Linked DNA regions of Canis lupus familiaris. The protein of the gene in region 1 interacts with the protein of each later gene in a pairwise test. Links are inferred from orthologs where the notes say so. Each region holds a gene or a part of one and is shown on either strand. Other genes may lie near its edges.

Evidence for each region.
Region 2: the proteins of ERCC6L2 (region 1) and CYREN interact in binary tests that used the Homo sapiens proteins (3 or more experiments, as listed by UniProt). The two-hybrid records come from large-scale screens. The link is inferred for Canis lupus familiaris from reciprocal best matches to the Homo sapiens genes ERCC6L2 and CYREN.

What each region holds. Positions count from the first base shown.
Region 1 is NC_049222.1:71,449,388-71,453,194, forward strand, and holds part of ERCC6L2 (DNA excision repair protein ERCC-6-like 2), read right to left. Parts: intron 3,621-3,807; coding exon 3,413-3,620; intron 334-3,412; exon of another isoform or gene 97-333; coding exon 1-96. UniProt on the Homo sapiens protein: Promotes double-strand break (DSB) end-joining and facilitates programmed recombination by controlling how DNA ends are joined in a spatially oriented manner during repair.
Region 2 is NC_049237.1:12,654,014-12,658,486, reverse strand, and holds the start of CYREN (cell cycle regulator of non-homologous end joining), read right to left. Parts: upstream 3,025-4,473; 5' UTR 2,868-3,024; intron 2,373-2,867; exon of another isoform or gene 2,199-2,372; 5' UTR 2,071-2,198; coding exon 1,964-2,070; intron 1,203-1,963; coding exon 1,127-1,202; intron 615-1,126; coding exon 492-614; intron 262-491; coding exon 29-261; coding exon of another isoform or gene 1-28. UniProt on the Homo sapiens protein: Cell-cycle-specific regulator of classical non-homologous end joining (NHEJ) of DNA double-strand break (DSB) repair, which can act both as an activator or inhibitor of NHEJ, depending on the cell cycle phase.

The DNA.
Region 1 (3,807 bases):
AGGTTCAGAAGACTGAAGTATCAAAGTCACATCTTTGGTTTCTAATACTGTTTGATAGACAGCTTTCTGAAAATCTGTCAGAGAACAATACACCATCTGCCAAGATGAAACACTAAGTAATTATTGGTACTTTTTTATAGCAGTAATAATCACAATGCACATCAGATTTTATAGACTATAAAAGTGAAAACTGCTTATAAACTATTTTTCTTTTAGATGCATTAATATGACAATTTCTCCCACCCTAATCTAAACCCTATAAATGATAACTTTATTTTCAAATCTCATAGAGTTTGTTTTTCAATTGAAAGGAATTAAAATATGAAAAAACAAGTGGTTTCCTTATATATTTCTGAATACATTCTGGGTCTTTTCAGGATTTCATACTATTAGCCCATCATGCAAATAAGTGACTATAGTTTAGGTCAAATAAAAAACTAGATAAGAAGGGGTGCCTGGGTGGCTCAGTCAGTCAGGCATCTGCCTTTGGCTCAGGTCCTGGGATGGAGTTCTGAATTGGACTCCCTACTCACTGGGGAGCTTGCTGTCTTCTGCTCCTCTCCCCTACTTGCTCTCTCTGTCTCTCTCAAATAGATAAAAATCTCTAAAAAAAAAAAAATAGTAGGAAAAGAGAAAAGGGAAACTTTAGAACAATGGTATGAATAATACTTACTGAACTACTTGAAAACTTAGAAAAAAATTTAAAACTTTATATTACTATTTGTAACAATTTGTATTTGATTTCCTGCTATAAATTCCTAAGGTTAGTAAAGGTTAAGAACTTAATACACATAAAAGCAACTACAAGTTTCTGTTTTATGCCAAAATTCAAAAAAAGAAAATTTGATATAATCATGCCACTAAGCTACGTAGGATGTAATTTACCTTATATTTCTAGTAGCACTGGAAATTGGTAAAAGTCCTCTAGATGTAGCTGTATGTAACGAGGGTCATAAAACACATAGTAAGAGTTAAAAAATGTGAATACAAGGGAAAAGCCATCTATTTATGAATGTTTATATGTTTAAATCACTACAAAATATTGCAAAAAGAAAAAATTCTGCTCATTGTTTCTTTGGGTGTTACAGAAACTTTTTACTTTGATGTAGTCTCACTTTTTTTAAAAAAAGAATTTATTTATTTTAGAAAGAGAGACAGAAAGAGAGCAGGAATCACAGGGGCAGAGGAGAGGGAAAGAGAAACTTTAGCAGACTCCACACTGAGTGTTAAGCCCGACTCAGGGCTTGATCTTACCATTCCAAGATCACGACCTGAGCTGAAACCAAGAGTTGGACACCTAATCAACTGCACACCACCCAGGCACCCCATAGTCTTATATTTTATTTTTGCTTTTGTTGCTTATAGTTTTGATATCATATTTAAAAAATCATCACCAAGACCAGCATCAAGGAGCTTTTTCCCTGTTTTCTTCTAGGAGTTTTATAAGATTTTGTCTTGTGTGTTAATCTTTAATCCATTTCCAGTTAATTTTTGTGAGTGGTGTTAAGACAGAAGTTCAATTGCATTCTTTGCATATGAATATTCAATTTTCCCACCACCACTTATTGAAAAGAGTATCTTCCTTTCTTACTCACTGAGTATTCCTGACTCCCTTGTCAAATATTATATTTGACTGTATGTATATGCATGGGTTTATTTCTATTCTACTCCTCCGATCTATGTGTCTGTTTTTATGCCAGTACCATTCTGTTTTGATTACTATAGCCTAGGAACATGCTGTGAAATCAGGAAATGTGATGCCTGCCAACTTTGCTTTTCTTTCTCAAGACTGTTTTGGCTATTTTGGGATCTACTGTGGTTCCATATGACTTTTAGGATTGTTTGTTCTATTCCTATAAAACAATGCCATAGGAATTTTGATAGGGATTGCACTGAATCTATAGATAGCTTTGGGTATTTGACAATATTAATTCTTCCAATCTATGAACATGGGTATGCATCCATTTATTTGTATCTTCTTCAATTTCTTCCATCAGTTTCTTATAGTTTTATATAGGTCTTTCACATCCTTGGTTAAATTTATTCCTAAGTACCTTAAAACACATAGTAACATTTACTAAACACTTTTTACATGCCACACATTTCAGAGCAACCATGTAAGGCACTGTCATCATCATTCCTATTTAACTGACAAAGAAACCAAGGTTTGGAAGACAGCAAATTGCTCAAAGTCACAAAACTCCTAAGTAGGGGAGCCAGGATTCAAGCTTATATTATTTCATCTCAGAGCCCATGGTCTAAACACTCTATGCACAAGTCTCTCTTCATATATTTATAGTTATTCCTCCTATTGGATAGACAACTAAATAATATACATAAAATTGCACAAAATATTTTTAAAAGTGGGGATTCATTAAGTATTTCAATTAAATAGTAGTATTTGCTTTAGATCAAAAAGTCAATTTCCCCAACTTGTATATCAGTATATTTGCCTTTCAAATCTGTCTTTTAAAAGTAATAATCAACAGGATATTCTAAGACTAGAGAATATTTGATAGTATTACCCATACTTGGGACAATATTAATTAAGCTTAATTCATAGTAATTTATAGAACCTTTATTCCATTACCTGAGTTAGAAGAACCACAGAATTAAAAACTATGAGAGGACACTACATGTAAAAAAAACTCTTAAGATTTACTCTTCAAGTTTTCTTAAACAATTAATGGAATTTAATTATAACTTTCCTAAACTTTTTCAAATTAAGTTGGTTGTATAAAATAAACAGCATTCTAAAAGAAACAAACCTATAAAACAAACCTTTTAAACACTATAGTCTTGTATCTGTTACAAGGTCTCAAAGAATATACGGGGCTACAAATAGTGCACAATATATGAAGGGCAAAATATGAACAGAAAACAAATTAGGGAGAGAGTTCTTTTTTCATTGAGAAAGAATTACACCAAAAGCCTTCTTATTATAAAATAAGAGAAATGAGTTTTATGTATACTAACAATAAACCTGTCAACTAACCTGTTAGATTGGGCTCAATTAATCCTTTCTGAATTTGCATATAACAACTTTTTCCACACTTAGTAAAAGACAAAAAAAACCCCTATATTCATAAAGTACCACAGGAAATAGATTTCCTCTTTTTTTAATTTTTTAATTTTTTTTTTTATTTATGATAGTCACAGAGAGAGAGAGAGGCAGAGACATAGGCAGAGGGAGAAGCAGGCTCCATGCACCAGGAGCCCGACGTGGGATTCGATCCCGGGTCTCCAGGATTGCGCCCTGGGCCAAAGGCAGGCGCTAAACCGCTACGCCACCCAGGGATCCCCTAGATTTCCTCTTAAAAAGAATTTTTTTTTTCAGAAAAAATAAAACATGATGAAAGATCAATAACTTAAACGATGAGAAATTAATAATTTAAACAAATGCAGTTCTCACCCGGTCTTCCTTCTTAGGCAACTGATCCTTGATTAGAGTCTTGGTACGCCTGAGAAACCATCCAGACATCATCTTTGCAAGCCTTTGCATGGCCTTTCGACCAGTAGCTAGTTCTCTTTTTGTTGCTGTGTGTCTCTGACCATGTTCTACTGGGTCAGAAAACTGCTTCTTGAAGTGGATCCTACTACCTAAAAGTCCTGGCACAGCCCTTTAAAGGCAACAACAACAAAAATATTATGGCTTTATTAAATTATCTAAAAAGAAACACATTGACTTTTTTTGCTTCTAAGAAATATTCTAAGCTACTTGTTCATGAATGATAACAATAACAAAATATAAGAAAAGAGAATGTATAACTACAAAATGACAGAATTAGTAAATAATTCAGATATTTA
Region 2 (4,473 bases), on another chromosome or scaffold:
TTAGCTGAAAAATATTTCCCTGACGTACTTCAGCATGTCCTCATCCTCGTCCTGGTCAGGGCTTGAGCGGCATGCAGAGTCAGGCCCCGCGGGTCCCTGCTGGGGGCTGAGGCCCTGAGTAGGGGCCTCCTTCCCATTGTCCTCATCCTCACTTCTACTCCCAGGGGAACTCGGGGCCCACGCTAAGCGGGCTGGGAACAGCTCTGGCTTATCAGCACCAGCCGGAGTCACTGACTCCCAGGGCTCTTCCTGTTTCCGGGCCTGTGGAGTAGAAGAGACAACAGGGAAAACAGACATTGTGTTGTTTCCCGAAGGAACGTGCGGGTTTATCCATCGTCGGCGAAGCAGAGCGTGTGCAGAAGCCACTGTGAAGCCAGCGTGTGACCAGGTCAAGTGACCAGGTCAAGCGGCGCTCCTAAATCAGAGCCTCCCCATCCCCTCCCCTCCCCGCCCCTGAGGAATACCAGGGTGGAAAAGAACACTAGGAAAACCATATCTGGAAATGCAGGGGTGACAGGAAGGAGCACAGGACACAAAACTTGAGTGCGGGCCTTGGCTCTGTCACTTGCTGGCTGTGTCACTATGGGAAAAGGCCTGGGCCTCAATTCCTTTATCTGTAAAATGGGGATAATATCTGAAATAACCATCGCCAGGTGACAGCAAGGATTCAGTGAGCCAATATATACAGAAGTACCCAGTCAACATACACACAATGCTACGGTGATACAACCCCTATTTGCTTCAGGAGCCAGAAGACCTGGGTGGGGGCATTCGGATAAGGAGTCACCTCACCCAACTGAGACCCCGCCAAGAACATAAGCATCTAAAGGCTCCCCATCGCCTCCAGCTACCAGCCCAGTCACGCCAGGGACAGCTGCCCTCCCTCCCACGGCCACTCCCGCCCCAGGTGTCCCGCCCAAACACTGAGTCACATCTCACACAGGGAGAGGCCAAGGGGAGTGGGACCGTGAGAGATGTGCTAGACACGGGACAGGTGGAAGACATGGGATGACAGGGGACGGGGTTCCCCGAGGCCACCTGAGAACGCAGGGCGTCTCTTTTGGTGCCATTAACCGAGGGCCCAGCGCAGTTTCTGATCATGACTAAGAGCCACAGTGGACTTTACCTCAATCAGGATCCCCAGAGCAACGTCTACCATCTCAGCCTCGCTCATGCAGTACGCAGTCCTCATTGCAGGCAGTCTGAAAGGAAGGCATGGTGCTCAGATGGGGACAGGCGGGTCTCAGGTCTCACAAGGGGGAAGAGAAGGAGAGCAAGAGTCCCAGCCCGGGGCCCTCCCACCTGCCGCCACTGGAACAGGGCATGAAGGCCGCTCCTTGGAGTCCCTGCCCCCACACAACGGACTCCAGCGGGTCAGATGACAGGTTATCAGGCCGAGTCATGACCAAAACCCACCTGCACCCGTGGCCACTATAAAGCAGGACCCAGAAGGTCTGAAGGGAGGTGGGTCAGTAAGAAGAGCCAGGGAGGGGAGCACTGAGTGCCGGGCCTAGGAGGATGCAGGGACGCTCCCTCCCTGGTGGCCTGAGGACTCCCCCAAACCACCATCATTCAGCTGATTTCATGCTGCTCCAGCGACTGCTGCTCATCTGTTCCTGATCTTCCTGCAGGCAGACTGGCCCCTGGTCCACTGAACTTGACCACTTAATGGTCAGGTCACAATGCTTGTTGCAAATGAAGACACCGGCACCTTGGACAACTGGTGTCTGAGAGTTTGGCTACTGTGCATTAGCCAGAAGGGGAGCGCTGCCTGGGAGCTGACACCTGAGGCCTGGCCGGGGAGCTGCACCAGCACCCTGCGGAGGCAGCTGGGGCCTGGGACCCTGGAACACCCACCACCTCCTGCTCCCCCAGCACCGGAAGGTTCAGCCCCAGCAAGTGTGATGCCCACAAAACCTCCCTCCTCCTGTTTCCCCAGGTCCCCAACCAGAAGTTGCCCCACCTTGCTGCAGCAGCTCCCTGCACTGCCCTCTTTGGCTTGGGGGTCTCCTGGGTTGTCATCCATGCGGGAAGGACCCTCTTCTTATCCCCGGATTTTACAGCTTCCATTTCTCTTTTCTTTCCTGAAGTCAGAGCCCAGGCTTAACGACTTGCTTTTCTAAATCAGGACAGCAAACCCCATTCTCATCACACCAGGAATTCCAGGTTTGTCCTGCATGGGAGTCATACCTTAATTCCTACAAAGAACAAAGTTTAGTGAATTCTAGTAAGTCAGAGTACTCCCAGCCATCAACTGTAATTACTGGTCAGGACAGGCCAGAGGTTAGCTGGGCAAAGAGCAGGGCCCAGATGCTGGCTGTACCCGGGGTGCCCAGCCTGCCCCACCCTTAAAGTATCTTCCATCCTCTCTCCCTCACCTCCCCAACTCCAGACCCGTCATTTCCTCGGACCTTGGTGCAGTTACAGGGAACCCCAGGACCACTTTAATTCACCCACACTCCCTTAATCCAAAAGATTCATCTGACAGGCCAGATTCTAGCCGGCAGCAGGGATGGGGAGGAGGACAGGGATCCGGGAGAGGGGCAGGGATGGGGGAGGGGCAAAAGGGATGGGGGAGGGGTGGCAGGGACCAGAGGGGGCGGGGACAGGGGCAGGGCGGCGGGGAGGAGGAGGGAGGAGGGCCGGGGAAGGGGGTGGGGCCTGGGGAGGCCTGGCGTGGCCTCGGGGCACCCCCAAGCCCGGCCCCCCCGCCCCGCCCAGACTCAGTCCCCGCCCTGGGCTCTCGAGGTCCGAGGTCCGAGGCTCGCCCTCCCCCCGCAGCCCAGGGCTCCGCCCAGGACCTCACTGGGGCAGAGGTCAGCCGAGACAGGCCGGGAGCCCTCTCCCAGTCGTCGTTTATCGCTCACCTGGAAGGCGGGGTACCCCGTCAGGGGCTGCGAAGTGCGCAAGGTCGCAAGGAGGTTGGGCGCAGCCAGCGGGGCCCCGCAGCCGCTCACTCGGCCTCACCCCGGCCTCACCCCGCCGGTCAGCGGCCGCCGCCCCGCCCGGGCTCCAGGGGCAGAGGCGGAGCGAGCCCGGCCCCGATCCCCGCGGACCCGCGCCGCCCGCCGAGCCGGAGCCGGGAGCGGAGGGGACGCGCGGGCACGGGCACCTCCACCTCCACCTCCACCTCCACCTCCACCGGGCGGCGGGCGGGCGGAGGGGGGGGAGGAGGGGGGTGCAGGGCCAGGCTCGGGGGACCGCGCGCTCCTCGGGCTCGGCCTCCCCGCCTCCGGGCTTCCGGGGCCTCCGGGCTTCCGGGCGGCGGGGACCCGGCCGGCCCTGCGCGCGCCCCCGCCCCACCCCCACCCCCACCCCGCCGCCCCCCGCGCGCCCCACTTCCGGCCCCCCTGCGCCCGCGCGGGGACCCGCTCGCCGCCCGCAGGCAGCCGCCCCCCCTGCCCCGGGCTCCCTGCGTCTCGGGCGGACCCTACTCGGGGCCCCTCTGAGCTCCCCGCTGGGCCGGGCCCTGGGGCTCCCCCGCCCCTCTGGGCCCCGGCGCAGCAGCGAGCGTCCAGCCGCGGACCCGGACCCCAGCCCCCAATCCCGAGCGCCCTCACACCTGGGCGGCTCTAACTCCCCGCCTTCCAGGGCGCGCGTGGTCACCCAGGTGGCCTTCAGCAGGCCTCCCAGAGCAGAGTGGAACCAGGGCCGCCCCCCCCCCCCCCCTTGACCAGGCAACCCCCTTCTCCCTGCTGCGTTCACAGTGAAGCCCCATGGCTCTCCCCGACCAGGAACCTAGGGTATCTGACCCTGAAAAGAGCCTGCCTTGATGTTTTCAACAAGTGTCAAGAATAATGTTCTATTTAGTGGAATATTTTTTACAGTCCCCAAACATGGCTTCATTTGAGGTTTGCCAGCCAGACTTTACTGGAGTGTCAACTCCTGGGCCGCCCCCACCGAGTCGGAAATTAGGGTGAGAGGAGGAGGGTCTGCATTTTAAAAGGAAAAAAAAAAAACCTTGGGATTCCCACAAGGACCAAGTCTGACTCTCCTTGCTGGGGGTACACATCCCAGGGGGAGAGGGCCCAGGGTAAGCCCCTTGGGTGCAGTAAAAGAAACGAAAGCCTCTGCTTAGACTTGCTATCTTAAAAGTAGTTGCCACTAACACAACATTCAGATCGGCGCAGGTGTTCCCTCGGCGGCTCCACAAAGCTCCCCAGGCGTCCTTGGTGCTTTGCCGTCAAGTTTAGCCTGACGCCGGGACCTGCAGTGGACACGTGGAGCTCGCATCCAGTTTAAGACGCACACTCAGCTTAGAGCAGGCTAAGGGGCCAGCAAAGGAGCCCCAGGGCAAGGCCGTGACAAGACATGCGAGCACAAGCCGTCACAGGTCAACCTTCCCCTGCTGCACTTGGAGGTGAAAGTATGATCAGAACCGACCGTCCAGCCCCCAAATGTGAGACCAGCCCCTTGAAATGTGATTTCTAACACATCAGCCACAGGAATAATGACCCTCCAGCGGCTGGAGGC